Linked DNA regions of Callithrix jacchus. The protein of the gene in region 4 interacts with the protein of the main gene of each other region in a biochemical or structural test. Links are inferred from orthologs where the notes say so. Each region holds a gene or a part of one and is shown on either strand. Other genes may lie near its edges. The genes, in order: CRHR1, ADRB1, PTEN and MAGI2.

Region 1 (7,854 bases), on a different chromosome or scaffold from region 4:
CAGGCCCTTGAAGGTGAAAGAAAGTAGCTTCAGGACAAATGAAAGGGGATATTGAACCTTTTTAAAGAGGGAATGTTAAGTGCCAAACTTTATAACCCCCCTGAGGCTGCCAAGGCCAAAACTATTAATAAGTAGGTCGAGGAATTAGGCAGATGCCTCCCTCCTCCTACCTGCTAGTCTGCCGCTGAGGTGGGGTGTGGTGGGGTGGAAGGTAAATCAGTGAAATCAACACGAACAGGATGAAATGTGCTATCTGTAGACGCCACTTCAAAAAGCGAGAAGGTCTGACTCCTGGGCAAAAAAGTCAGGAAGAGCCAGGCTTGATTGCAGTCCAATCGATGGCATTAGCATATTTAAAGATCATGTCAAGGAGATGATAATGGGGCTCAGAGAGGCAAAATTTGATGGTGTTTATTAAGCAGAGAGAAACACAGAAGCTGGAACTGTCTAGTCCCTAGAGAGTGTGCTCCAAGGTGGGGCCAGGGAGGGAGCGGGGCCTTGACTGGGCCTGGCCAAAGCTCCTAGAGGACCAACCGGCTTCTTCTCCTCTGATTCCCAAATCTACTGCTGCTGGTGACTTTCTTATCAAGATTTCTGCTCCCCACAAAGAATCGCCTAGAGGGAGGGACCAAGCTGCCCCTCACACTTGAGCATCCAGTCCACTCCATCGTGATGATTATGTTGATGTTGATGATGATGATCGTATTGGTGACTACAGCTAACCCTCATCAAGTTCTTGCAATGTGTGCCAGGCTCCGTTCCAAGCTCTTTACAAATATCAGCTCCTTCTAACTCCCCAACCATTCTCAGAAGTAGCGTTTCTATCCCGATTATATAGATGAGAAAATTGAGGCATTGTTAAATAATTCTCTTACTTTATACAGCTTGTTAGTGGAAAAGCCAAGATTCAAAGTCAGGCCGCCTGACTCCAGAACCTGCATGACATCAGACTGCCCTGCACTTAACTGTTGTTGAGGCCAGTTAGTTGGCCACCTGCTTAGCACGTCCATCCCATCTGGGGTTGGCTGGGGTGAGTCAGTGCCCAGCTCGGCACAACCATGCGGGTTTTGCAAGACTTGGGACTGTGTGCTTCACCTAGAAAGTGCCAGGTGTGTGGCTAAGCCATGTGAGCAGCTGGCTTCCTGGGCAATGACCCTCCCCACTTCAGAGCCCCAGGCCCCTTTAGGGCCCAGCCCTCCAGGTGCTGTGAGCTGGCAATCAGGAGAGGGAGCACTAGGCTTACCAGCTGTAGGACTTTGGACAGGTCACCACCCTCTGTGTGCCTCCATTTTCTCACCAGTAAATTCTATGTTGGATCATATGACCTCCTAAAATGACTCCAGCCCCAAATGAAGGCCAGTGGACCCATGAACATGCTGGCTCTTGCCCACTGTGCTGAGAAGTGGGTGGGAGGGAGTAGTAGGGTGGGCATAGCAGTGCACAGGATGCAGGGCAGGTGGGTTCAGTTTGATTTCAAAGCCGATTGCCCGCGCCTCAGGTGCTTTGGTGTACCCTATAAGGATTGCATAGGCCAGGCAGCCTAGGCTCTGCGGGTGAAGATTTCTCTACCTCCCAGTGACTCCTCTTCTCCCTTATCAGCTCTGATAGGAGAGAGGAAGAGGGAAGAGGACGTCAAAAGTTCTGTTCATCCGGAAGGGCTGGGAGTTACTTCCTGGGATGGGGAGCTCGTGAGCCAATCCAGAAGACGACCACGGGGTCTGGCGGGAGCCCCAACGCTGCCCTGAAGACTCGGCCGGGAGGGGGCGCTGTGGCCTCCCCACCCCCAGCCCGCAGGCTCCTAGCCGGGTTCGCCGCGCTGCAACGCAATCCGCACCTGGCTTTACCCAGGGCTGCGTTCAGTGCCCACTTGTCCTGCAGGGCACCGCCGTCTCCCTTTCATCTTGGGGCTCCCGGGTCCAAAAGGTTCCCAGATCCAGCCCCTTGCCTGAACCAAAGTGGGCAGGCACTCAGATTGTAAGATGAACGAATGAACGAAGGAACGAACTAATGAATAAGGGCTCATCCTGCAGAACGTTCGCGTCTCAGCGCGCACTAGGCACGTCAATGCCAAAGGTGCTGGGAGTCGGGCTCGGAGCCCGGCGCGGCTGGAGTGGGGGCGGCGAGGAGCTCCCGCTAGCCAGCTGCAGGGCGGGAACTGCCCAAACGCAGGTCGCAGCTTCCCCGGGTTCTGCGGCGGCTTCGCTCAGTGGGGACCGCCCTGTTCCACCGCCACCAATAGCCTCGCCCTCATAAATTCACCTGAGCACCCCCGCCCAAGTGCCCCCGGCTCCCCTGGACTTCCCAGGCCCGGACCTCTGCCCGGCGGGAGGTAGGAGGCTGCATCCTCTCCTGCCACCCCCTCGCCCATCCCGGGCTTCTCCCCGGGCTGCGGCGGCCGCCACCGCCGCAAGCACGCCCGGAGGACTGCCGCAAACCCGGGCGTAGGGAAAGGGGATCCTGGCGGCGGGGCGCAGGCGGCGGGCCAGGGGAAGAGGAGGGAGCGGGGAAGGAGCCGAGGGGCGAGGGGCAGGGAGGGAGCCGAGGGGCGAGGCGCGGAGGAGGGACCGAAGGGGAGGAGAGAGGAGGGGAGGGGAGAGGGAGAGGGAGAGGGAGAGGGAGAGGGAGAGGGAGAGGGAGAGGGAGAGGGAGAGGGAGAGGCGGGGGGGAGGGGGAGGGGAAAGGGGAGGGAGGGGACAAGCTGGGCGAGGGGGCGGGGAGCCAAGGCGAGGAGCCGCGCGGACCTTGCGGGAGGCGGCAGGGGCTAGGCTGGCAAGAAGCGGCCTCCCGCCGGGCTGAGTCGGGAAACGGCGGCCAGACTTCCCCGGGAAGGGGCGAGCGAGAGCCGGCCGGGCCGGGCTGCGGGGACGGGGAGCGCGGAACCGGGCGCCTCCTCACGGGGCAGCCACCGAGGAGTCCGGCCGCCCACCGCGTGCTGCCCGAGCCCGCAGCAGCCCGCCGGCCCCTCTGGGATGCCTGGGGGACCCGGGCGTTCAGGACAGTAACCGAGCGAGCCGGAGGATGGGACGGCACCCGCAGCTCCGGCTTGTCAAGGTAAGAGCCCGCCGGCCCGCCCTCCAGCGCGAGCGCCCCCAGCCCCGGGCAGACGCGGGACAGGCCGGGCTGTGGGTGCGATGGAGGAGGGGGCGCCAGGAGAGCGGCAGTCAGGTCGGGGAAGGCTGGGCTCTGGGGCAGCCTAACTCTCTGGACCTTTGGAGCCAGGGTTTGGTGGGCAGGGGGAGACTCAGGTGAGAAAAGAAATCGTGGCTGAGCCGCCGGGATGTTGGCGGAGGAGGGGTCTGCCCACTCGGGTAGCCGTTTCCGCGCCAAGAATCGCTCTAGGCTTTGGGGCAGACGCTGGGTTCCGCCTCCCACGCCCTCCCTGCAGACCCCGGCCCCAGGACGGGAGGCTCTGAAGCGGGGTTCCCCGCCTCGCCCCAGCACCTTCTCATAGCTCCCCGACTCCGCCCGCCCCCGCCCCAGTCCCGGGAGCGCATCCTGCTCCTTCTCCTCGGCTGCAAGCTGCGAGTCCAGGGAGATTAATGCGGCCCGCGCCTGCGAACCCTTGATCAATATCGCAGTCTCGGGGGAGGGGACCGTGCCTCCGGCGGCGGTTACCATTCCCTCGCCGCGGCCCGGGAGCGCAACACTCGCTCTCCGAGCCTGGGCACCGAGATCCCCGCGCTGCGCAGCCTACCCTGCGACGCGGATCGGTCGCTGGAGTTTAGGAAAGTCGCCAGACCTTACGTCCAGCGTCTGCCCGCTGAACTTCGTGGGCGGCGGGGGCGGCCCAAGGGCCGTGTGCGCCCGGGAAGGGCCGGGAGGCCGGCAGTCCGGCCCGCCCCTAGTGCCAGGCGTCACTTGCAGCCCCGAGCGCTTTCCACAGCGTTCTGGTCTTGCAAGGTGTAGGCGCGCCCGCTGCAGCCGGCCGGAGGGGCGGGTGGGCCTCTGCGCGGCTGCCGGGAAACCCCGTGCCGCACCCGCCTGGGCACGGCCTCGCCCGGGGCTCGGGATCCCTCAGGGTCCGCTTCAGCCACAGACGTAGACGCCAGCCTGACCCGGTTCGGGGCATTCAAAGCGATTACATTAAAGAGACTTTGGTGGATTTGGGGGAGGGGTGCGGATTGGCGGAATTTCATTTTTCCATCAGTTATTAAACCAACTGTACGTATAGCGGCTTACCAAGTGGTTTGAGTTAAAGCACCAAGATTTTTTAATGAGACGTTACAAGTTACTGAGATTTTTCTCTAATCCTGCCCCTCCCCAGATATTTATAAGTTGATTCTTGAAATGACTGAGGGTTGGTCTCATTGAACCCACATCCCCTCCCCTGTCTGTTACCTGAGGGCTAGAGATGAACTCAGAGATTATTTTCTGGGCGTTCAAGGAGACAGACGGATGAGGAAGGTGAAGAAAAACATCCAGAGAGGTCGAATAGGTGGCACTGAATGGGAATATTTTCCAAAAGTCTTGTGTGTATCGAAGCCTGGTCTAAATGCACAAACCAGTTAGACCAAATTCAGTCTTTTGAACGGATTCAAAGGATTGAAATGTGGGTGTTTTTGTTTTTTTTTTTTTTCCAGTTTACACTGAAATAGATCAATGTTCTTTTTCTGGCCTTCTTTAGAGTTGTGTGCAAATCTCTGTTTAGAATGATCATGTTTTTCTTTAAAAAAAAAAAAAGGGGAGTCTTTTTATTTCTGTTATTCCTACCAGATAGTGGGGTGTGTGCTCTTTATGACTGGCCTAATAAACTCAGTCAGCACTCAGTAAATACCAAATGAATGAGGCTGAGCCAGGGAATGGCCAGCGAATGCTGGTTTCAAAGCTGGTTTCTATTAAATAGTTGCTTTTTTCTTTTACTTATGTAGCATGTACAATTCACTGGGCATTATTCTACCTGCTTTGCAAATATTAAGTCATTGAGTCCTCCTAACAGCCCTAGAAAGTAGGAATTATTCCTGAGACACAGAGAGGCTAAGTAACTGGTTCAGGGTCACAGAGCCAGTGAATAGTGAAGTCAGAATTCAAACCTGGGCACTCTGATATAAGGCTTTGTTTTGTTTGCTTTTACCAGAAAATATCTTTTTTTTTTTCTTTTTTTTGGGATAGGGTCTCACTCTGTCACCCAGGTTGGAGTGCAGTGGTGTGATCTCAGCTCACTGAAGCCTCAACCTCCCTGGGCTCCAGTAATCCTCCCACCTCAACCTCCAGAATAGCTGGAACCATAGGCATGCACCACCACACCCAGCTAATTTTTGTATTTTTTATAGAAGTGGGGTTTCACCATATTGCCCAGGCTGGTCTCCAAACTCCTGGGCTCAAGCGATCAGCCAACCTCGGACTCCCAAAATTCTAGGATTACAGACGCGAGCCACTGTGCCCAGCCATTACCAGAAAATATGTTAAGCCCCTTAAACCTCACCCTAGATCTTAGCCAGATGAGAGCCCAGGTAGTTTTGCCAGCATGAGAGTATAAATCTAGGGACTTAGTGTTCATCCCAAATCCAGCGCTGTCCCCAGCAAGTCAGCCAATGTTGGGAAGGGTCCACTCTGGGGCCTATATTGTGGGCCTCGCACTGTACCGGTTACAGAGTCCTGGGGGGAAATGCGTGTAAATGGGGAGAAACAGGGTGTGTGACCGTGTATGTATGAGTGGGGAGGGACGATGTGTGTGCAAGTGGCCATGAGTCAGAAGACAGGCAAGACATTGTCTCTATCCCCAGGAAGGGGCAGGGGCCTGAGCACCTGGGAGTCACCCACGCACTCACTGCAGCTCCTCACAGGGAGGTGGAGTGTGACTCTAAACATGGGTCCCAGTGTCTGTGAGGGGTGCAGAAGGCAAGGCCTCTCCATGGGTTCTAACAGGAGAGTGATCTCCCAGGAGGGAGCTGGTTTTATTATTATTGTTATTCTTATGTAAGCAACTTAGCAGCTATAGGCAAAGTTTGAAAACCAGAATGGAAAAATGATTGCAACCTCACTCTCTGAATCCAGCTGTTGTGTAATTCATTTAAAAAATACCCCCACAGGTCCCCTTCTCAAGCACCTGTCTGGGCACAGCTGTGGCTGCCGGGCAGCCCACTCCCCAGTGTCACAGCCCAAGTCTGTTTCACGTTATCCGGAGCCTCCTTGGGAGAATATGTCTGCATGTTGCCTGCAAGTGAATGGACTTTGCCGTCCCTATATGGGTGCATATCTGGGCCATTTCCAAGTTGTTTCTTTGATTAAATGATATGGAGCCAGGTTTTCGAGGGGAGCATTGGCAGGAGCCATGAGGAATGTGAAACGATGAGCCCAGCGTGCGCCAGTGGGCTCCTGCAGCCTTCGGGAACTACTGGCCTGCCCACAGACCGGGGGCAAAGTCGGAGAGGGGTCCAAAAGCCTGGCCAAGCCCATCTGATTGGAAATGACCAGCCATAGAGAGGAGTGTGTAGATAATGGAAAAGTAGAATACTCACCCAGAGCCAGTGAGGACAAGCTCAAGTGGAAAATCCATTTCTCACCCTCTCTAACATTTGGCTCCTCAGAGAGCACTGTTCATCTTTTACCCTTTGTGGCGCTGGGCCTCACAATTGTTGCACATAGTAGGTGTTTAACAAATGTTTGTGGACTGGATGGATGGTTTTATTGTTGCTTCTTCTGTTAGGTATTGTACAACTGGAAAGAACCTGTTTCTGTTCCCACAGGATGCAGATGTCATGTCAAAACAGAAGGCTGAGAGATGCTCAAACCACCCTAGCTGAAAAGCCATCTCTGATGCAGAAAGGACTAGAACTCCCCCTTAAGCCCACTGTGGTTACTAGAAAAGAGAAAACAACCGCCAGCCAACGCAGCACCCTAGTGATCTGGAGAATCCCTTAGGGGTGGGGCTTCAGCCCGTGAAACTCCAGTGCTTTTGCTGTGTCTGGAGGAGAGCAGGTCGCTAGCAGTGATCTGGGCCGTTTCTTCCTCAGTTAAAAGAGGGAGTGGGGTGATCTCTCTCAGCTCTGATTCTACCCTAATCACTCACAGTATCAACAAAAGAACTGTGAGCCCATTTTGAAGGTAAAGCCAGGTCGAGATTTCAGCTGCAGTTTTAATAGTCAAAGAATGGATTTGTTAATTACAAATGATTCCTGTCTACCTAAATTCAGAGGTCCCTGTCAGCAGAGTCCCTAGGAAAATTTTTTTTTAGACAGGGTCTCCCTCTGTTCCCCAGGCTGGAGTGCAGTGGTGTGAACACAGCTCACTGCAGCCTTAACCTCCTGGGCTCAAGTGATCCTCCCACCTCAGCCTCCTGAGTATCTGGGACTACAGGCATGCACCAACTACACCTAGCTAATTTTTAATTTTTTTGTAGACACAGGGTCTTGCCATATTGCCCAGGCTGGTCTCGAACTTCTGGGCTCAAGTGATCCTCCCACCTCAGTCTCCCAAAGTGTTGGGTTACAGGTGTGAGCCACCGGGCCCGGCCTGCATCCTTTTGAAATGCTTGTCTTTGGACTTGTTGCTCTCAGACAGCCATCCCTCACCGCGCCTAATGTGGCAGTCAACATCTTGTATGGGTAGGAACAGCAAATGAAGCAAATGTGGGCTTGAATCCTGAATCTGCCCTGAAGCTGTGGCCAAGTTATCACTCTGAACCTCAGTTTCTTCATCTGTCTAAATCAGGGGAAATAATACCTGCTTTATGGGATAATCATAATGACCTTGAGATGCCAAGTATGAAATTATGCACAGTTGCACAGTGTCTGGCACACAGTAACTGCATAATAAATATTAGCTATAGCAGTCACTTAATAAATCTTACCAACTTCCTCAGTCCAAGAAACGCCATCAAAAGGAGGAGTGGTGAGGGGATGGGGGTAGAGGAAG
Region 2 (7,948 bases), on a different chromosome or scaffold from region 4:
AGGAAAATGTATTTAACAAGGAAAGATTTCACAATAGCCACTTAGGAGTTATTAATAATTCCAATTCCAGAGAAAGCATGGACTAAGAAATAAATAAACTCTATTTGCAAAGGTTTATATGGGCAAGCTCACCAAAGGACGAAGCCATATGGTATACCAATTACACATTTCTACATCAGGGAGAGAACTTATATATCCTGGAAAATCTCTATTGAGTTCTTGTTAGTGTTCAATCTGAACGTAACTTCCAATGTAGCAAATCTATGAATCCTGATCACAGTTTCCTGTTACAATTTTAAGGTTTGTGCTTTTGGTACTTTGCTACACACACGCCCATGGGTAAGGCTGTCTTTCTGCACACTCATTGCCCTCTTCTTCCTATTCCTGCAGTGCACAATCTCACCAGATTAAGCAGGACTGGCAGTCTTCTCCTCCCACTGCCATCGCTACTGGGACTGGCAGCCTATCTCCCCACATTTTCCATTATAAATCAATGGCTGCCTTCTTCAAAATCGACGAAAAGTAGTCTTCACGGATATTTGGAATCACTGACAGGGTCCGTTTCTGAATCCACGTAATACTCAGTTGGAGAGCATGGGGGATGACAAAAAAATCTATCCTATTTCCTGCCAATACATAGAAACCAGTCCCAAGATTATAGGGGCTTCCTCTCACTCACTAAAGTGATTGAGCCTGGGTACTAAGTGGTTAAATTATATACATTTGTTCTTAAAGCTTAAAGGACTTTTGTCATTTAATACCTGAAATTTGATGGGCCCGTATATATGTTTTGGGCTGAGAAGATTTCTTTTCATTTAAATGTGAAGACTTATCTAGACAAAATAAGTAAATAATCAGGAAATCAAGAAAGTGAAGCATTTAACTGCTACTTCAGTGTCTAGTAATTTCAGACAAAAAAGGACAAAACCCCTAAGAAAATGCATCTTACACACTCATGGTGGGGAGTGGATAGAAATTAACCATATTTGGTTCCTAGGGAAATTATAGTGACATTCATCCCGAGACTGATTATACATGCTCCAAAATATATTTCTTTAAATATTTATTTTTATATTCTTAAAGAAGCTCATCCTTTCTTTCTTTCTTCTCTCTCTCTCTCTCTCTTTCTTGCTGGAAAGGGGTTAAACTTCATAGCAGCTTTTGTTGAGGCTGCTCCTGTTTGTGCAACCTTCTGCTGGTCTCTAAAACATCTACGTCATTAACCTTTCTCAGAAGATGGTTGCCTTGTCTTTAGAATATGCCATTGCAAAAAACAATGTTCAGTCTCGACATTTCCCTATTAGAGAATACTCTCTCGTGTTAAAGTGTAGCATAAGCCAGACATGAATACTCTTTACTTTGATTTCTTTACTGTATGGTCATGATATAAAAAGCCTATTTAAAAATAGAGTATTTTAATGTATTTTGGATAATGTAAAATCACTATCAGGACAGAATTTCACCATACTTTCCTTTAGGAACTAACTTTATGAAAAAGACCCCATCCTTTGGGTGCTTTAATTTTCTTAGAAACTTAAATCCTTTCACATTTGCTTTTACCTGTGATCTGTCCACCCAGAACTTCTGGCAAAATGATCTACTTGACTACGCTAGAGGAAAAACATTTACTTCAGAAGCCCTTTTATATATTTTTGCTTAACCATGAAAGCATTTTTCATTCTAAACAGCCTCTGGAGAAATCTGCACACACTGATCATCTGCAGGCTGTGATTTTCTATTGGAAAACAAAAATAAGCTGTGGAAGCCACTTACTGCATTCCAAGTAGGCAACTGATCATTCAATGAGTCTTTCCTGCATTTCCATGAAAGTTGCAGCTGAGTTAAATGGCCACATCACTGGTTTTTAAATTTATTTTTAGAATATAAGCAATCCCAAATGTCACTTCTTAAGTCAAGTGCAGCAGATGGGATCTTGAAAGTGCCTACACATTTAATCTGGCTGTGAAAATTTAGGGCAAATCTGGAGCTCTCAGTAGGTAAACACCTTATTTGGTCTGGAGGCATTTTGCTATGTTATTGAATCATGAAAACCTATTAAAAGAGCTCTATAGAAATCCAGTCTGTATTCTGAACAAAACAAGCTGTCTTTTTCATTATTGCTGACCCCGTACAGACACACGATACATAATCTCAATTGTGCTTCATTGGTATTTATTGCACATGGACCAATTCCTCACACAGTAGTTAGTTGCACCAGAGTATAAATACTTGGTAAAACACACAAGAGGAAATAGAATTTACACACAAGTGCTAACTTTCACCAGCAAATTCACGTGGGCACTTGGACATAAAAAAAATAAAAAATCCTTAAGATAATTATATTTATAATATGGATACAGTTACAGTACCATGATAAAGGAGTATAAAAAGGTATTTTCCCAATAAATCATTAGCTCTATAACATACTAGACAACAGAAGTAGAGCTTGAATTTTATTTTAGTTTTTAAGATCTGCCCACCACTTCCCCAGTTAAAAAATATTTAACTTCTTTTTGTGCAAGTAATGTTTTCTGTGGAATTTGTAATTCCTAACACTGTGCAAAAATGGCATTTTGAACCACTCCTTTTTTTGTTTTTGTTTTTATCCACATGTGCAGTAATCAAAACTGTCTCTCTCTCTCTTTTCATGTCCTGTCTTAAATTGACAAGAGTCACATGTCACAGAGAGAGGCTCTGCGCCTGGTCCTTCCAACTAGTATTGATACATAAATAAGCTGTTTAATATAAACAAGTCTTTCTATCTGCTGTGCAAATGCACAGTGTGAGGTAGAAATCCCGTAGCCTGACCATCCAGGCGCGCGGGGGATCAGAGGGTTTGCCCTACACAAGGAAAGCAAATTGGGGCTTGTTCCAAGAAGAGCTTAACATTTCTTGAAACGTGATTTTTTTTTTTTTTTTGCATCCATCCTTTTCGCTTTCATAACAGCGGAAACCATTACTTAGGAATTAAAATGAAATTTCTCTGGAAAGCAAAAGGAAATAAATATGCCTTGATAAACTGTCATTCTCCTCTCTCTGGCTGGTAGACTGCCCCTGTTCCTGGGACAGGGTCGGGAGCCAGGTTGATCGGATTTTAATCCCCTCCTAATGCTTCTTCTCCCTTCCCCTGCCCACCCAGCTTCCACTCCCATCCTCGTGGAGTCAAAAACCACCTGGGGGGAAAAATCTAAAGATGCATCACAGGCACACACAAAAGAAGGCCGGACCACAAACAGAAGAAGAAGGAAAACAACCCAAGGAACATCAGCAAGCCACTCTCCCACCCCTCCCCAAACTTTCCTTTTTGTGCAACGGTCCGTGGCTTTTCTGTTTGCCTTGGATGATTCAGACGAGGTTTGTGGGCTTCGAGTTCACCTGCTTTCGGTCTTGAGTAAACACAGATCTCCGAGATCCCCCGGGAAGCCGTTCCGGGGCGCCGGGCCCCTACACCTTGGATTCCGAGGCGAAGCCGGGGCGGCACGGCTCGTCCAGGCTCGAGTCGCTGTCCGCCGCCGCCCCGCCGTTGCAGCCGGCCCAGGGCTCCAGCAGGCGCGCGGGCGGCGTGGCCCCGACGACATCGTCGTCGTCGTCGTCCGACGCGGCCCCGGGCGACGGCGGAGGACCGGGCCGGGCCAGGCAGCCCGAGGCGCGCGGCCGGTCCCCGTGGGCCGCGTGGCGCCGGCTGGCGGCCCTGCGCGCGCAGCGGAGCAGGCGCTGGAAGGCCTTGCGGAAGTCCGGGCTGCGGCAGTATATGATGGGGTTGAAGGCCGAGTTGGCGTAGCCCAGCCAGTTGAAGAAGACGAAGAGGCGATCAGGCACCAGCTCGCGGTGGAAGGCCTTCACCACGTTGGCCAGGAAGAAGGGCAGCCAGCAGAGCGTGAACACTCCCATGATGATGCCCAGCGTCTTGAGCGCCTTCTGCTCGCGCAGGGCCACGAGGCGCGAGGGCCGCCGCTTGCCCGCGCGCCCGTTGGCCAGGGGGGCGGCGGCGGCGGCGGCGTTGGGGCGCGGGGGTCCTGGCGCTGACGGCGGCGCGGGCGCGGGGGCGGGTGAGGGCGGCCGCTCCGGGCCGCCGAGGAACCGGCGCTCGCAGCTGTCGATCTTCTTCACCTGCTTCTGGGCCTCGCGGAACACCCGCAGGTACACGAAGGCCATGATGCATAGGGGCACGTAGAAGGAGACCACGGACGAGGCGATGGCGTAGGCCCGGTTGGTGACGAAGTCGCAGCACTTGGGGTCGTTGTAGCAGCGGCGCGCCTCGTCGCTCTCCGCCCGCCACCAGTGCATGAGGATGGGCAAGAAGGACACCAGCGCCGAGATGGCCCACACGGTGCACACGAGGCCCCTTGCCCGCGCGCGCGTCAGCAGGCTCTGGTAGCGGAAGGGCGACGTGATGGCGAGGTAGCGGTCCAGGGCGATGACACACAGGGTCTCGATGCTGGCCGTCACGCACAGCACGTCTACCGAGGTCCACAGCTCGCAGAAGAAGGAGCCGTACTCCCAGCCGCCCCACACCACGATGGTGGCCCCGAACGGCACCACCAGCAGCCCCATGACCAGGTCGGCGCTGGCCAAGGACATGATGAAGAGGTTGGTGAGCGTCTGCAGCCGCGGCGTCTTGGCGATGGCCACAATCACCAGCACGTTGCCCGCCACGATGAGCAGCACGATAAGCGCCATCAGCAGGCCCATACCCGCCGTCCACTGCTGCGACAGCGGCTCGAGGCCTTCGCTGGCGGGAGGCAGCAGCGAGGCGGGCGGCGACGCGGGCACCAGCAACCGCGCCGCAGTGGCCGCGCCGTCGGGGAGCGGCGCAGCCGACGACAGGTTGGCGGGATCGGAGGCGCCCAGGACGAGCGCCCCCGCGCCCATGCCGAGCTGCGGAGGCCGGGGGCGGTGGGTGTGGCGGGGCTGGGCAGTGGCTAGGGAACACCCCAGGAGCCCGGGCGGCGGGGTGCGCCGAGGGAGGTCGCGGCCGGGTCAGGACAGCCACGGCGCGGGGCCGGAGGCATGGGCGCCGGGCGCCTTTCCCGCCGGATCCGAGCGCTGTCGCTGTCGCCGCCGCCGCCGCCGCCGCTGCCGCTGCTGGAAGAGCCGCCGGGACCTCAGCATGTTTCTGAGCGCGCCGGGCCCGCAGCTCCGGCACCCAGCACCCACCCCACCCCGCTCCCACCTCCCCAAGCCAACCCCCGGGGCCTCGCGTCAGGTTCCTGTAGCCAATCGGGGCAAAGGCACGCCCCCGTCGGGTCTGCCCCCCCCAACTCCCCGCACCCCACTCCAGTTGGCAATTGAGCCGCTCCTGAGAGTCCGGAGCTGATCGCGGAGCTAGTGCCTCCCGTGCGGCCCGCGGGTTCCTGCGGACGCGCCCCTTCCTGCGCCCGCTGGTTCCAGGTCCCTGTTCCGCGCACCCCCTCCCGCGCCCGGCTCCCCCGAGGGGCCCCGCCCCCTCCCGCGGCCCCCAAGTGCTCCCGCAGCCGCTGCTGCGCCCCGTTTGCCTCCCGCGCCAGGCTCCCTCCTGCGCCCCTGCTTCCCCAGCATCCCCTCGACCTGCAGTCCTGGGGGTTCCCTGCGGCAGAGAGCGCTCGCTCCTTGGAGCGAGGAGGGGACCTTGGTGTTCTGGAAGCGCCAGAGCGCCTGGGACTGCTTGCCCGCCGGGCATGAAGGAGTTTGCCCTGCGAGCTTGGTTGTGGCATGGGGCAGCCTAGCAGGGTGTGTGTAAAACCCTTCCCCCGTCAAGAGGCGACCCAGCCAGCCTGTGTCGTGACAGCTTGGGGGATCAGAGGTGGGTGTTAGTGGTTAGAGGAAACTTCCCAGCAGAGCGGGTTGCTGGAGCCAAGGGCGCATCTGTTCAGAATGCTCTCTGGGCGCTGTTCTTGCAGGGATCTTCTGTTGAACCTCAAGTGCAGTGGAAGTGGAAAGGATGCGAAGGTTTGTGCATCTAACAGCTAACGCTGAGGACCCGCTGGCATCGTATTCACTCCTCAGTCCCAGCTAATGAATGTGTGAGCAAGATGCAACGGTGTGTGCTCATGATAAAGGGAGAGGCTTAGGGAGACAGAAACGTTGAGATACAGAGCAAACGGTACGACTGCGAGGGGAAAAAAAACATGCTTAATTACATTTTAGACTTGTCAGTGATAACACCTGTATTTTGTGTTTTATTACTCTTGTGATTTTGTAATTTGAGCTAGGTCAGTACCAACACAAAGGTACTGTCAGTTTCGGCTGACGTCATGAACTACCATTTCAGATTCCTTGGTCTGCTGCTTGTTTTCTCCTTTTCCCAAGTTCCCAGATTCTCAAAACTCTGGGATTAGTTTTGGAGGGATGAGACAAGAACACATATAAATACTCCAGAGGATTAAAATCCGAAAGCATTTAAAGTTGTATCTGTGTTTTTTTGAGTTGGCAAATGAATCGCTTTGAAATGAGTGAGTTGTTAACCTGGCGAAATGGATTATATTGGGGTGGGGGCACAGCCATGAATATTCAGTGCGGCAGGACTGCAAGCCCCTTCTCTCATTTGGCCCCTGTAGTGTCCTCAGTTCAGGCTCGAAAAACAAAATATCTTTAATTGGGTCCTTGAGAAGTAAACAGCTTCTAATTGTTTATGTAAGGGTGCATGAAAATGTTATATAATTCTCACAGGTCCTTCTGGCATTGGAGTAAGAACAGTGCCTGCAATGAACATCAGCATCTTTGCTGATGTTGGTCGTCAGTATGATCAAGCTCATATTCTTACCTTGCAAGGAGAGACTGATTTCCACAGCTGTCCAGGTCAAAAGCAAAAAGGAATGTTTTTAAAGTTTATATAAAGCCAAGCAGTTTTAACCACTTTCTTTTACAGAAATGCAAACATATGAATTTGCTTTAGGCCCAAGACTGATGGTTAGAGTGTTACAACTGGGGAGTAATTTGCTTATTCACTCCCTGCCCAGGATTTATCAGCTGATTTGCCAACTTGGGGGGGTTGAGGAGGGGTGCCAGGAAACAAGAGGACTTAGAAAAAGGGGAAGAAGGAGACTACACCCCAAGTTTTCCATGTCACCGCAAGCCTGAGATTCCTGGCGTCTTTCTTTCATTCTTTCTCCTTCTCTTTCTTTTCTTTCTCTCTCTCTTTCTTTTCTTTCCCTCTTTTTCTTTCTCGCTCTCTTTCTCTCCTTCTTTCTCTCTCCCTCGCTCCTTCCTTTCTCTTTCTCCCTTCCTTCCTTCCTTTTGTCTTTGCTTTCCTTTCTTCTTTCTTTTCTTTCTTCCTTTCTTTCTTTCCTTCTTTTTCACTCTTGTTGCCCAGGCTGGAGTACAGTGGCACGATCTTGGCTCACTGCAACCTCTGCCTCCTGGGTTCAAGGGATTCTCCAGCCTTAACCTCTCAAGTAGCTGGGATTACAGGCATGTACCACCACACCTAGCTAATTTTGTATTTTTAATGGAGACAGGGTTTCACCATGGACTGGTCTCGAAAACCTTGGCCTCCCAAAATGCTGGGATTACAGTAGTGAGCAACTGTGCCCAGCCTTCTGGCTTCTTTCTGGGCCCCCAAGGGGCAGTCTCAAAATAGCCAAGGGATTGGAAGAAGTTGAAATTGATGCTGCTCAGGAAAGGAGCTCTGAGTGCTGGGCTGCAGGGTGAGGCACAGGGAATGTGGGGAAGAGGTTTTTCCTTGCCATCTTTCTGTCAAGTGGTGTTACCAGAATAGTGTACCAACCTTAAATGGCCTTGAAGGGTGGAAGGCATTGCTTTTCTGTGTGCGATAAGGCCAGAACTTGGTTGTAGAGGTTCAGGGCAGAAGCCAGATGCCAGTAACTTTGCTGTATCATCATTACGTATATAAACACACTGTGACATTTGAATTGTTGAAAACTCTCCTGAAACTTTTTCCCCTGCTCATTCAGAAATACATCAAGTTTCTCTGAATTTCTGTATAATAAATACATTAAATTATAAACAC
Region 3 (7,410 bases), on a different chromosome or scaffold from region 4:
GAACCAAGAGTTTCATATTAGCAGCAAAATAACTAGATTTAAGGGTCTTGATTTTTTTCATAAGCCTTTGGAAGCCTGCATATTAAACACTGGTGAGTTTTAAATTCTCAATGGAAATGGTGATGGCATTTACTGAACCAAGCCAGCTCATACTACAACTTACTGAGAACATGATATAAAAACAAAACTAGCGTATTTCTATTTTTCAAACATCACCAAAATATCTTCTTATAATTTTAGACTCCAGTAGTTTTCAACCATTTGTATACCTAAGATATGTAAAAATGTGTGTACACTACACTTGATATTTTATATTATTGCACATTTTTCATTTACTTTTTTAAAAAATCACATGGAAAAAATGTAAACTTGAAATAGTTAAATCCCACTGTAATATTAATAGTCTATTTTTTAAACACTTGTACAAACTACACTTTCACTTATTACCTTACTATGCTTTGTTGAAAAGATATGCTTTAGTCTTCAAGTTTTTAAGAATATTAGAAACGTGGTTAAATTCAAGTACAAAAAGTCCTTTAGACTATTCTAAAATATCAATTTTTATATGGCACAAGTCATGATGAGTTGATGAAGTTTTCCATATGCTGATGGCAGAGTATAGAACTATAAAGAAAAGCCACACAATTGAAATCTAAAGTAGCAAATCCATTGTGGGGAATTATCTTTAAACATCTGGCTTAATAAAACAAAAATATGCACAATTTTCCAAGAATCTTGAACTTTTTCAGGACTAGAATGCTATTTAATGTGCTTATACAATTTATGAAGTGATGACCAAAGCCCTAAAATAAATCCTTTTCCTAAACATGAGTAGACAGATACTCTACTCCTAAGCTAACAAAGGCCATGCTTTTTTAATAGTAGGCTTTGAAGGACAGCAGCAAAGAAAACTGAAAACTTCTTATTCACATTTGGCTGCCCATTAATTAAAACTTCAATGGATTTAAGCAATTTGAATTATAAACTCTCATTTAATAAAACACCCACACAATGACAAGAATGAGACTTTAATCAGTTTTAAGTGGAGTTTATAACACTAAGAGATAAAGGGTTGTTAACAAACACAATAACAAATGGACATCTGATTGGTATGAGGCATTATCCTGTACACATCATATTGGTATTTTTGTGTATCCTCAGTGCATAGCATTTACACACAGAGCCACTGCTGCACAGCACAAGAGTATCTGAAGAGGCTGAATCAGAGTAAGGCTGTTTAACAGACTGAAATTTTTTAGTATATATATTCTATACGAAAACAGGTTGAACTTTTGAACTGGCAGGTAGAAGGCAACTCTGCCAAACACTACAGTTAAAGCCCCCACTTTAGTGCACAGTTCCACCCCTTCCATCTGCATGCATGACACATTAACAGTATTTAAAGGTAAACGAGGCACTTTGTGGCAACCACAGCCATCGTTATGAACATATTGCACAAAATTTCTAGAACTAAACATTTAACTTGTACCCTACTTTTATTTTTTAAAGCTGAAACATTTGATGCTGCCGGTAAACTCCACTTAAGTTTATAACCTGTGCCACAGCAAAGAATGGTGATGCTATTTATTCAACTATCCTTTCAAAAGTATGGGAAACATGTTCAAGAGGAGCTACAAAGGACTTGGGATGGTACAGGGCCCAATTGTAAGCTTTCTTAAAAGTGATGCCTTCAAGTAACTTCAGACATGTAAGCTGCTGCACATCCAAAAAGTCTAAGAAAACATTCCAGAAACTCAGAGATTACCTACAGAATGCATTTCAGGCTAATTATGAATACTGTCATAAATAAAGTTTTAATTAGGACTCGAAAACCTTTCAGTCATAGCAATTCTTGTCAAATTCTATGGGGATGGTAACTGAAATAAAGTAAGGAGAGTATGTATAATATATATTTATATATATAATATATATAATGCCATTTTTCCATTTCCAATGACTACACCATAAAATGTAAGCAAGGCTTCTCAAAAACATTGAAACATTCAAAATCAAAACCCTCATTCAGACCTTCACATTCCAAAGGAAAAATAATAACAGTGCAAAAGCCCATTATAATGTCATTATTTATGACCTGGCCCTCCATGTTACATATTGGAACAATAAAAGTTATGTTTTAATATGCAGTGCCCAAAATTGTAACAAAAAGTAGTATTAATAACTATCTTCAAAACATCGATTTTCATTTTAGGTAACAATTTTCAGTTTTTATGAAAAACAAGGTGGCATATAAATTTTAATGGTGAAGTGTTAGGAATAGTTGTCTCTAACTTTACCAATTTAACTTATGAGCAATCAATCAATATATATCAATGTTTAAATATAAATGTGTAAATCCTAAGAGCTTTGTTAAAAATTTAAAAATTTTTGCATGAAACTGACGAGGTATGGAAAACATGTCAACATTATTTACTAAGAATATTTTAGATGAAGTTCTGCCTAATCTATTTGCCATCAAACTCTATAAATGTTTCTCTAGTAGGTCCTATTCAATCTGTATCTGTAAATTAACTAGGTCAGACCACAGCTAGTGAACAATTTCAGCACCAATAAGTTATTGAAAATGAAATTTTATACCATTAAGAAATATAATGGCTGGATATTCAAATGTCAAGGTGAAGGTATAATTTGAAGACACCAAATTTCTGGAAAAAAAAATCCTTTTTAATAGTATCTTCACATTAGCTTTACAATAGTAGTTGTACTCCACTTAAAATCGTATGCAGTCTGGGCATATCAAATATATGATATTTTTTAAGAAGTGAAATTGAAGCCCTAGTCCCAACTTGGGGTAGCACTATGAAGAAATGATTCAACACTGCACATTAAAAAAACCCCTATTCTTTCAATAGCAAACCAGTAAAGCACATGTAGGACAATTTCTACTGAAAAATCAAATGTCTTTTTTTTGTGCAGTGCTGAAAGTTTACTGCAACTCTGATTTCTTAACACAAATGTCCTTTTTAACATAAACATTATATGTATTCAGTATTCAAGTAAAATTCCCTAACAGTTAATGACATTTAAAAAATGTGCAAAACTGCAAAACTCATCGTAATAGAATGTGTAAGGTCAAAAGGGTGGAACGGCTGACAGCTATTGGATTGAATAAGTGCATCATAAATCTTCAAAGAAAAAAAAACACTTACTGTAGAATCTCAAATTGAAAATTTCTGTGCAGCATTACAAAATATTTTATATTTAATGAGAAAAAAGAAGCTTGCAGGCAGCACATGAAGCATCCACAGCAGGTATATGATTGGAAACTATTAAGTGTAAGTTGTTGACTGATGTGGGTACTAATAGCATCTGACTTTTAGCACTGGCCTTGATTACACAGGAGATGGAGCAGTCATTACAACTGAGAAAACATATTTAATAAATCATTGTCAATTTTTATGTTTCAAGCCCATTCTTTGTTGATAGCCTCCACATTTATATGGTTAAGTCATTGTTGCTGTGTTTCTTATGACATTTTTATATACCTTCATTTGTGGATCTTAAGATGTTGCAGAAGGTTCATTCCTGTACCCCAATACAGATTCACTTCCTTTAGCTGCCTTTTCTAGCACCAATAGGCTTTTAAAAAAATGCGCAAACAACAAGCAGTGACAGCGGCCAATTCCTCGAATGTCCAGATTAATAACTGTAGCATGCTAAAGAAAGGTGTGTGTAAATAGCTGGAGATGGTGTATGGTCCAGAGTCCAGCATAAAATGTATTTCCTTTCTGAGCATTCCCTCTAATCCCCTAACCTGAATACATGCATTAGAATGTAGCAAAACCCTTTGGAAACTTCTCTTAGCCAACTGCAAACTTATCTGTTGCCACAAGTGCAAAGGGGTAGGATGTGAACCAGTATATCACAAAGCTCTTTAGCCACTTCAGTTGGTGACAGAACACAAAAGGAAAAAATTCCTACGTATACACATCAGTCTGTCTCCACTTTTTATAAAACTGGAATAAAATGGGAAAGTGCCATTTTTATTAATTCTAATTGAATTTTAAATGTCCTTTTGACACAAAAAGGTATATACATGACACAGCTACACGACCTTTTTTCAACTGGACAACAAGTTGTCAAAACCCTGTGGATGTATAGGGTAAAACAAGATTGGTCAGGAAGAGAATTGTTCCTATAACTGGTAATCTGACACAATGTCCTATTGCCATTAAAAAAAAAAAGGTCCATTTTCAGTTTATTCAAGTTTGTTTTCATGGTGTTTTATCCCTCTTGATAAAAAAAAAAATTCAGACTTTTGTAATTTGTGTATGCTGATCTTCATCAAAAGGTTCATTCTCTGGATCAGAGTCAGTGGTGTCAGAATATCTATAATGATCAGGTTCATTGTCACTAACATCTGGTGTTACAGAAGTTGAACTGCTAGCCTCTGGATTTGACGGCTCCTCTACTGTTTTTGTGAAGTACAGCTTCACCTAGAGAAAGAAAATTTAAAATGAAAATCCACAAATATGACTCATCTTAAATTATTTAGTGAAAGGCATTTTTAACAGATTAACTTTTTTATTCCATTTTGCAGATAAACACACTAATTTTTAAGCACGTAACAAACATGATTTTTAAGAGGCCTTTTAAATGACCCTCTTCTTATTAAGATATTCAACATTTTCTTTCTTGCTAGGTACCAAAATTAACATACTAATAGACTATCAGGATGTTAATATTATTTATTTATTTGTTTTTATTTCTGGAGACAAAGTCTTGCTCTGTTGCCCAGGCTGGAGTGTAGTGGCATGATCTTGGCTCACTGCAACCTCTGCCTCCTGGCTTCAAGCAATTCTCGTGCCTCAGCCTCCTGAACAGCTGGGACTACAGGTGTGCACCACCAAACCCAGCTAATTTTTTGTATTTTAGTAGAGATGGGGTTTCACCATATTGCCCATACCGGCCTCAACCTCCTGAGCTCAGGCAATCTACCTGCCTCAACCACCAAAGTGCTACGATTACAGGTATGAGCCACCATGCCTGGCCTCAATTTATTTTTTAAAGAATATAAGCTGCAAACATTAACTAAATAATTCTACAAAATAAATGAAGATTGAAAGCTATCAATAGTTTACATAATATAGCCTTTCAATTATAAAATTCAATTCACAAATGGCTAAGTTCAAAAAGAATGTTTCTCTTACTAGTTACCTAAAAATCAATTCCTTCCTTCCCTCTCTTCTTTTTTCTTTTCCTTCCTTCCTTTCCTTTTCTTTTTTTTTCTTTTCCTCTTTCTTTTTCTTTTTGTTTTTTTTGAGACAGGGTCTTGCTCTGTCACCCAGGCTAGAATGCAGTGGCACCTTCACAGCTCACTGCAGCCTCGAACTCCCAGGCTCAAGTGACCCCCCACCTCAGCCTTCCAAGTACCTGGGACTATGGGTACATGCCACCACCCCCAGCTAGTTTACTTTTTATATATTTTTTTGGAGAGACAGGGTTTCACCATGTTACCCAGGCTGGTCTCAAACTCCTTAGTTCAGGTGATTTGCCTACCTTGGCCTCCCAAAGTGTTGGGATTTTAGGCGTGAGCCACTGTGCCCGACTTCAATGTATTTTTTGATATAAACACTACACACACACAAACTACTGATCAACACTGATATTTAGAATTTATGAGCCCTAAAAACTTCACCTAAAGGAAGGAAGGAGAGGGACAGTAACCTCATAACGTGGTCTAAACAGAGAGCCAAGGGCCTTTACATGCATAGTGAAAATAACTGTCAAAATAACCCTATATGTTAGGTATTTCCGTTTTCAAGGAGAGGTAGCTAAGGCCCAGAAAGGTTAGGGAACTTGTTAAAGGCCACATATCTATAAATAGTAGGTAGTAGATTTGAGATGTAAATCAGATCTGACTTCAAATCCCTTCTTCATTGTATTATATTGACAGCCCCTCCCTATTATCCAAGAGTCATTATCAATTATTCTTCTCTTACAACCAACATCCACTCCATCAGTAAACCCTTTTAGTTAATCTGACAGCTTCTTGTTACCTTTCACTGCCACTATTCTAAGCAGTGAAGGGCAACAAGAAGAAAACATCATCTCTCACCTTTACTAAACTATTCAAGTGCCTCAACTATCTCTCAGCTTTAATTATTACCCCTTCTCCCTACTTTCCTCACTTATCTATATTTTGAAAGCATAAACACAGGGAGTATTAAATGCAAAATTCAGATTATATCCTTCCTATGCTGAACACACACAAGTATCTTTACACATGGACTGGTTTTCTTGTCTACTCTGTTTTAGTCAAAATGACTTATCCACTCTTCAAATACACCAAGCTCCTTGCCTAAAGGCTTTTGCATCTCTACTCTTCCCTCTTTTCCCAGATATTTGCATAACTCACTCATATGATTTAGGCTCTGCTTAAATATTATGTGCTTGGTTGGGCCTTCTCTAATCATCCTAGCTAAAAAACAAAAAACACACAAACCAAGATTATTCTCTCTATTTTTATAGCACTTACCACAATATGACATTGTATTTGTTTACTAATAACAGAGCTTTTATTTGTAATCACAAATATAAAAATCTTGCAATATTAAAACAGAAAACAATAAAACTAGAAGGAAAAGATAGTTTAAAGGTTAATGGTTAAGCAAAATGCAGATTTAGAGAAAACAAAGGAAACCTGTAGATTTTAAAGAAAATGTCTTTCCTGGAGGAAATGATGTTAAGTAAAATCAGTCAGGTACAGAAAGATCAATACTGCATGTTCTCACTCACATATGGGAGCTCAAAAAGTTGAGCTCATAGGAGTGTGGTTATTAGAGGCTTGGAAGGGAGGGAGAGGGGAGGATAGGAAGATGTTGGTTAAAAGATTAAAAATTACAGATAGGAGGAATAAATTATAGTGTTCTACAGAACTGTAACGAGTCAACAATAATTTATTGTCTATTTTCAAATAGCTAGAAGATAGAATTTTGAATGTTCCCAACACAAAAAAATAACAAATGTTTGAGGTAATCCATATGCTAATTACCCTGATTTGATCATCACACACTGCATACATGAAAATATCACTCTGTATCCCATAAATATGTATAATTATTATATATTAAAATTTTTTTAAAAAGGGAAACTTCTCAACACTTAAATTTAAGAGCTAAAGGCATTTAATATTAGATCTATTTTCACTTAAAACATGTAGGGGCCCCTTTACTGATTTTTAAGTATTACTATTACTAGCAATTTTTTTTTTTTGGCGGGGAGACAGAGTCTCACTCTGTCACCCAGGCTGAAGTGCACCAGCGTGATCTCGGCTTGCTGCAACCTCTGCCTCCCAGGCTTAAGCGAGTCTCATGCCTCAGCCTCCCAAGTAGCTGGGATTACAGATGTGGGACACACACCCAGCTAAGGTTTGTATTTTTAGTACAGACA
Region 4 (7,410 bases):
CTGGTGGCATGTCTCATGCTTGGAATACACATTTGAGGCTATTCCTGGCATGTATGTATCCCAATAGCTACAGGCTTTACTATCTCTGGGGGCTGTGCCTCCCCTGCTTGGAAGGTGATCCAGACCTTGATGAAAACAGTGGGTTCTCCCGCTGAATGCTTGCCTGTGGTTCTAAATTGGTGGGCTGTGGGCCAGATGTGGCTGCATCTGGTTTGTTGTGGTACTGTTTTTTTTTCTTGTGCAGCCTTTCTTACAAATGTGAATTAAACTTGTCAAACTTTAAAAACCAAAACATTTCAAATAAAGACCTGATTTTTCTTTCCTTAAGAAACTGGAATACTGTTCCATACTGGACTTGACAAACCAGCAGCTTCAGGGAGGGTACACTCACCCTTTGGACAGTCCCCACCTGACTCCTTCCTGTGTTCAGATTTTCCTGTCTGTACCTTGGAGATGTGAATTCATGATAAGGCCCTGTCCAAGCCAGCAGGGGCCTTGCTGGCCTCCCCCTAGTTTCTGCCCTGTTTCTGTCCTAGTCCTTTGATCTCTGACTTTCTGTGTTTTTAGTATCTTAGTAATTTGTATTTATTTTTTAAAAAATAAGTTGTGCAGTATGAATATTTATACTCCATTTAAATTAGTTTTTATAGAGGTCTTTTTCAGCTTGTACTGGCCCATTCTCAGATGACTTCATAAAGAATGACATGTACAAATTTCTTAATTTTTGTGTTCCATTTTACATGTCACCTCCTTTATAAAAACGATGCACAATATTAAAAAATTTTGTATTGGAATAAAAGATTGACAGTTTGGGAACTTTAGGCCCCCTACTGACAGGTGGAGAGGGGAGTCTTGATTAGTGTTGAAGTGTTCCTTCCGATTGTCAGGTCCTTGATGGCAGGGTTGTAATCACCCAAGGGTCAAACAGAACTTTCTCTTCCTACCACAGGCATTGTAATTCATGATAAAGCTATAGTCGACCGTTCATTTTGGATCTGTTCACTGCTGCTCACTATGCTGGCTTCTGCATGAACTCATGGGGATTTTGCATGAAGAACAATTCAGAATTAAAAGGAAAAAATGTGATGGAATTTATTACAGATTGATACTTTAGATCCCTTTTGAAAAAAGGTAAAGTATCAATCAATGTAGCAAGCAACAGAACTATATTGCCAATTCATAAGTTATGTAGTAACCTGACAAGTAAATACCAACTAGACTGAGAAGACTGTTTACTTAGGCCAAAAAAGCCAAGAATCTTTCCCATGTAATGCCACTGCATTTAGATTCAAGTTTCAAAAGAGTCCTATTTGGGGCCTTAAACTTAAAAAAGAAAACTGAAGTTTTGAAAAACTAGGTTAACCCCCAGTAATAATCTATTTTAAATTAACACACAGCCTATATAGTTGGAAAAAGAAAAGATTTTTGGATATATATTTTATTTGACAGTGTTTTAGAATATCATACAGTAAACAAGATTTCTGTAAAAGTTAATTTATCCATAGTGGTGCGTTTCATAAAAATAGTTGCTCACTTACAGTCTTTCTGTAACTATTAATACATGAAATTATATTTATAGAGATACAGCTGTACAGGGTAAATTCACAGCTAACACTACACAGAAATATTATTTGGAATGGGATTTAGATGATGTGCTGTCTTCACAGGTTATGGATTACAGCCGCATAAAGCAATTACTGCACAAGTAGTAGCTGTGAACTGTGCAAATTAGAGTTTATGCCAGTGTAATCTCAATTTTTTTTTTCCTTTTGTAACACATGGAAAATAAAGGTCAGAGGATACAGTACCAGGACGTGCAGCTACACTACAGAAGCGTTGTCCAAAACCAGATTCAATAAATTAATGGCAAACTATACTGGATTTCTAGTCCAGGGGAGAAAGACTAACTGAGATTAAACCAAAAGCATTATAAACTGCTACAAGTGTTTGTGCTTTTGTTTATGATGAATGGGTTTCATTTTTGGACATTGCTTTTACAAGCTGCAAGACCCTTCACTTGAGGCTTTTAACCTTATTCTCCTCGTGTCAAACAACTAAACTACTCTGATGACTACTCCGATGTCTGATGATTAAACTGCTACTCAGGATACTGCAATTACAAGGAGGGGGAATGATCAGCCCAGGAAGGCTATATTACGTGTGACCTTTGAGAAGGACCTGATCGCCTCTTTTACTCATTAGACTACAAGTGTAGGGAGGTGAAGCTTATTTGCATTTGAACTCCTGTAAAGAGTAAGAATATGGGAAGGATGAAGCCTCATTCATTTAGGGCATATTTTTAAAAAATTGCCTTCAGAAACACTTTGCCTTTTAATATGTGTAGCTACAGTAAGTACCAATGGATAATTAATTGAAGCTAACACTTCACAAAGAAATGCTAAAACAGTAGGGAAGGCAAGCCTTAGAATTTTACTAGGAGGCCAATCACAGATTCATGGAGATAAACAAATGTCTAGAGGTTGCTAACAAAATAAAAAATTGACAAAGGATACAAGACAAAAGCAAACTAATGGAAACAAAAGGAGAAAGAGTAAGGAAAGAAAGATAAGCAGAAAGGAATGCTAAATGGACTCACGTTCTTTAATGAAAATAAATTGGTTATAATTTTTTAACATTAGAGATTCATTATAATCTGAGAAATATAAGACAAATACTCTGCCTCCCTCTGTCAAAGTGCAAATGAAGTCATGGAGAGAGGGTTTAAAATAAGACAATAAAATAAGTGAAATATCACATTGCTGACAAAGAAGCTATCCATCTCTGCTAGCCTGGGACGACAGAACAGCCTCTTCATAAAGGAACTGCAGCGTTGCCAATCTTGATTAAACAAATTGTGGTCCTTCAATTATAAAATTTATAGTTTAGAGAAAAACCAATTAAGACCTATGAGCTAAACTGCAAAATTCTGATGTACGGCAAACCGTTCCCTAGGATACAATTTTAAACCTTTTTTTCCTACCACTGAAAATGTACAGAAATATGATTTGATTACAGAAATGGCAATAAAAATGGCATCACACCAATAAACTCACTAGATTTCTAAGTTATCCCGCAGGAGGCAGGGAATACTGCTGCTAACACCGAGGATGGATGCCAAGGATGAGCCATGGAAACATGTCATGGGTGAACAGTTCCGAATGCGTCAAAGAAACCCTTTAACCCCTGTCTAGATATGTCGAGAACAATTTATTTACAACGCTTTAGATCAGTTAAAAGATATAATCTTGTCTCAGTTTCAGCTTGCTCCGTGCAGTTTGATTTTTAAGGCGATATTCCAGTTTGTGATTGCTCTTAACTTGTCCAGTTTCTTGATATAAAGTTTGGATGACATCCAAATCCTTCATGCAGTGGGGAGGAATATTTTTCTTTTTCTTAAAACTAAAGCTACACTGCACTGTCTCTCTGTGATGTTCTTCACGTTATTTTGGTTCTTCCATAGCTGCCAAAGCCCCCACAATGGAACCGGGGGCTTTAGGATCAGTTTAAGTCTGTGCGTGGACGCGCTGCCGCCCATGCACACTGGCCACGTGGGACTTCACGTCGATGCTCCCAGGCCTTGGTGCCTCGTGGATCTATGCGTGTGACAGTGAAAATAAATTAAAACGCTGTGAGACAGAACCCAAGAAGAACGGCCCGTGCCGAGGCTGGGGGGCGGGCCGTGGCCGTGCGGTTCATCTGCTGGCGGCCGAGGCGCCGGGTTTGAGGACGCCCGGCAGCTTGTCGGAGCCTGGCACCTTCCAGGGCCCCGGCGCGACGGCGGCCTTGCGCGCGGGGGCGCCCCCCGGGGGTCGCGGGCCAGGCCGGGGGCCCGCACGCGCACCTGCCCTGCCCTCGGCCTCCCGCGCGCCGCCGCCGCCGCCACCACTTGTGGCGGCGAACGCGGGCGCAGCCCCGGGGCCTTCGCGCTTGCAGAGCTCGGAGCCCGCCACCGCGCGGGGCGCCTCCTTCCCACCCGCCCGTGCCACGTCCGCTGCTGCGGGCCCGGGCGCCCTGGCCTCCGAGGAGGGCCTGCCGGCCTCAGGCCGCCCCTGGCCGCCGGGCGCCTCCTCGAGCCTCGGCCGTGCGGCCCTCTGCGGACTCGCCGAGCGCTCCCTCTGCTCCCCGAGGCGCTGCTTCTTCTGGCCGCAGGCTGAAAGCTCCTTTGGTTTTCTAACGTCGTGTTCCCGTTTGATATCCCAAGTTGGGCCTGGGCTTATCTGGTGGGAAGGGTCGGAGGATGGGGCTGGATGTGATGGAGAGAATGGAGCGAGGCCGTCGTCCAGGGAGACGCCTACTTCCGGCAGACCTGGGGCGGCGGCAGCGGGAGAACTCCAGGGGGCGGATTCGTCTGTGGACGTGAAGCACAGGCATTAGCAGTGGCGCCCGCAGGCCGTCCCCGCGCCCTCTCTATGCCGGGGACAGGGGCAGGCAGCCGGGGCGACTGCTCTCAGCGGCCGGAGCCACCGCCACTCCCACCCTCACTGCCAAGAGGGCAGTGGCCGCGCCCCCGGGGATTTGGGGGTTCCCTCCGCCCCACTTATCCCCCACGACCCGAACCCCGTCCGTGGACTGGGAAGGCCAACGCGAAGCCCAGGCCTAATAGCTTCGCTTTGGGCTGGTAACTTCCCGGGGTGCCCTCGGGTCTGACAGTCTTGTGTGGACAGCTCACTTGACAGCTCTTGAATCAATAGGTCTCTAGCTCGAGCAGACCTTGGAATCACCAGGGTGGTGGTGAAAAATACAGATTCCCTGGGAGGACCAGGCCCGGAGATGTGAGCCGCACGGGGCCCAGGAAGGTCTCTATTTTTATCAGGCACCTGGGTGATTCTGAAAAAGGTGGTCTAGCAGAGATGTCCAATCTTTTGGCTTCCTTGGGCCACATTAGAATCGTCTTGGGCTACAAATAAAATACACTAACAATAGCCAATGAGCTTAAAAAAAAAGGACCATGTATAAATCTCGTTTTAAAAAAGTTCACACATTTGTATTGGGCCACATTCAAAGCTGGCCGCGGGTTGGACAAGCTTGGTCTCGAGCCAAGCTTTGAGAAACACAGGTCTGGGTTCTAAGTTGGGGAGTGACGTTCTCAACCAGTAGGTGTCACTCAAAGCATAGTCCTAGCTGCTGTCAGTTTCAGAATTTGGATACATTCAGTTTAAAAGATCATTGTTTTTAAAAAGTCGTCCTTTTTTTTTCCTTTTTAACCACAATTAGAAGAAAAAAATCGTTGTCCTTAATTTTTTTTTCTTTGCCAAGTCTGGATGAAACTTAATTCTTTTTAGTACTTCTAACATTATGGAGGGCCCCAAGACTAAGATAATTCTAGGAAGCCTAGTTCCAACATTTACTTAAGATTTAAGTTATCTACTTCCAAAAAGGATTTAAGACAATTGACAACATCAAAACACGTATAAAACAATGATAAAAATGAGAGATGACTTATTTTTTAAAAAAGCAACAGCTGATCAGAAGCCAAGTAGAAGGACAGATGTATTAGGAATCTGAGATGAGTTAACTGTTACTGTGAGCAACAACTAAGGGGAAATGAAAGTAGGGAAATCCAATTACTGTGATTCCTTGATATTTGTAAGAAATATGTCTCATGACCTTGAAAATGCTCAAATTTTGTGATATCATTCCAGAGTGTAATTTTTCTTCTGTAGAATTGGCATAGGGTCATGAGTGGAGAGCAAAGAAATCACATTGATAGATGTGAATTCTGAGTGCCAGGTAAGCCTCCCTCACTAGCTAAGAGATTCAGTCCCACACGGCAGCCTCAGTGCATGTGATTCAAGCTCCTGCCTCTGTAACATGTCAGAGGCTGTCAGGGATGCTTTCATATACTCAGTCCATTAATGTCCAGGGTCTACTTTGTTTGAAACTTGAGGGTTCTTATATAGTACCTTTGATACTGATTTGTAAAGCAATAAGAAGAGGAAAAGAGCAGTGGCGTTGGTTTTCCCAGTAATTCTTGCCATCTTTAGAATGGCAAATCAAAAAAGTTTATCATTGTATGTGAAATTTGAATGGAACATTTTGGGCATAATGTTAACCTTCCTTCTTCCATACACTGATGTCCATTATCATTTTCACATAGTGAGTGAAATCCTAGAAGAGCATCAGAAGCCCTGAAATATAATCCTGGCTCTGGCATGTATTTCCTGGTGATTTGATTTTTGGACAAACAACTAAATCTGAGCCTCAATTTCTTCCTTGTTGAGGTGGGAATAAAATATCCTATTTTACAGATGTGGGACATAGACCTTATAAGGGAAAGCACTTTGCAAGGGGAGGGTCAGTCACATTTTTTCTTTTGCACCCCACCTGCTGCCTACTTAAAGACTGAGCTCCTGTGAAAGCCACCTCACTAACTAGTACCTGTGCAGGTGAGGTTTTGAGTAAGTGCAATAAGGCAGTCATTTCCATGTGCTGTGATTCCCAGGTGTGGTTTTGCTACACCTCAGGTATCCTTGGTTACCTCAAGGAATAGTCTGAAATCCTTAAAGGCAAATGTATCCAGTGGAAATGAGAATGTTTTGTACTTTTGGCTGGGTTAGAGTTTAAAATCAAACTAGCAAATGATAGGTGGTGGCAATCCACCCATCTAGGGAGATACAGTCTAGAAGAGTTAAAAAGTGATCTTCAAAAGGCCAAAAGAGAGGGTAGCCTGTGCAAGAGTGATCTCTGACTTCTACCATGGTAATGATATTTCACATTTTAATAGCTCTTTTCCCCATTATTACATCACATATGGTAGAATTAATTAGCTGGCCTCAAATTACTTCTTAGATACAAGGAGAAGGTTGATATTATTCACACCATTTCCTGAAGGAGGAATTCAAGCAGAGAGAGGTTAAATAACTTGACCAAGATTACAAAATGGTCCAGTCTAGAGTAAAATTTTGGATTCCTTTACTCTTTGTACTTAGAAATTGTCACAAGATGTTACCCTGCAAATAGGATCAAAGTATGTGAAATGGGCATGGACAGTGGCCACTGACACCCAACAGCAACCAGATCTTGTCCTTAAGTAGAAGACGTGGCATTTATTTCTGAAAATCTTACCACATGTCTGGCATTGAACTGGAGAGTTCCTATCCAGGAAAATGCAAAACTATTAAACCAGACGAATAAATGTCCATCCATCATTAGTTGGCCTCAAATTACTTCTGAGATTCAGGGAGACACTCTTTTCTTTTCCTCCTCCAGTGATTTTTCATATGGTAAAATAAAAGGTGAAATTATTCACAAATTCAAAGATTCCTCTTATTATAAAAGTTTCTCAAGAGTTTGTTTATAGATCATTAAACACTTAACAGTGAGAGAAATTAAACGCTAAAATGTTCCAAGTCACTACTGATTAAAAATATTAATGAGAAATTAAAATTACTATTTCAAAGTGATTTAAAA

Evidence for each region.
Region 1: the proteins of MAGI2 (region 4) and CRHR1 form a complex in vitro, tested with the Homo sapiens proteins (2 studies listed by BioGRID and IntAct, with this or other methods). The link is inferred for Callithrix jacchus from reciprocal best matches to the Homo sapiens genes MAGI2 and CRHR1.
Region 2: the proteins of MAGI2 (region 4) and ADRB1 interact in a test that uses a peptide from one of them, tested with the Homo sapiens proteins (4 studies listed by IntAct, with this or other methods). The link is inferred for Callithrix jacchus from reciprocal best matches to the Homo sapiens genes MAGI2 and ADRB1.
Region 3: the proteins of MAGI2 (region 4) and PTEN form a complex in vitro, tested with the Homo sapiens proteins (2 studies listed by BioGRID and IntAct, with this or other methods). The link is inferred for Callithrix jacchus from reciprocal best matches to the Homo sapiens genes MAGI2 and PTEN.

What each region holds. Positions count from the first base shown.
Region 1 is NC_133506.1:86,533,530-86,541,383, forward strand, and holds the start of CRHR1 (corticotropin-releasing factor receptor 1), read left to right. Parts: upstream 1-2,725; 5' UTR 2,726-3,018; coding exon 3,019-3,051; intron 3,052-7,854.
Region 2 is NC_133513.1:106,981,364-106,989,311, reverse strand, and holds ADRB1 (beta-1 adrenergic receptor), read right to left. Parts: upstream 5,142-7,948; 5' UTR 4,873-5,141; coding exon 3,445-4,872; 3' UTR 2,152-3,444; downstream 1-2,151. UniProt on the Homo sapiens protein: Beta-adrenergic receptors mediate the catecholamine-induced activation of adenylate cyclase through the action of G proteins. This receptor binds epinephrine and norepinephrine with approximately equal affinity.
Region 3 is NC_133513.1:80,557,486-80,564,895, reverse strand, and holds part of PTEN (phosphatidylinositol 3,4,5-trisphosphate 3-phosphatase and dual-specificity protein phosphatase PTEN), read right to left. Parts: intron 4,455-7,410; coding exon 4,269-4,454; 3' UTR 1-4,268. UniProt on the Homo sapiens protein: Dual-specificity protein phosphatase, dephosphorylating tyrosine-, serine- and threonine-phosphorylated proteins.
Region 4 is NC_133512.1:72,036,875-72,044,284, reverse strand, and holds the end of MAGI2 (membrane-associated guanylate kinase, WW and PDZ domain-containing protein 2), read right to left. Parts: intron 4,349-7,410; coding exon 3,693-4,348; 3' UTR 1,423-3,692; downstream 1-1,422. UniProt on the Homo sapiens protein: Seems to act as a scaffold molecule at synaptic junctions by assembling neurotransmitter receptors and cell adhesion proteins. Plays a role in nerve growth factor (NGF)-induced recruitment of RAPGEF2 to late endosomes and neurite outgrowth.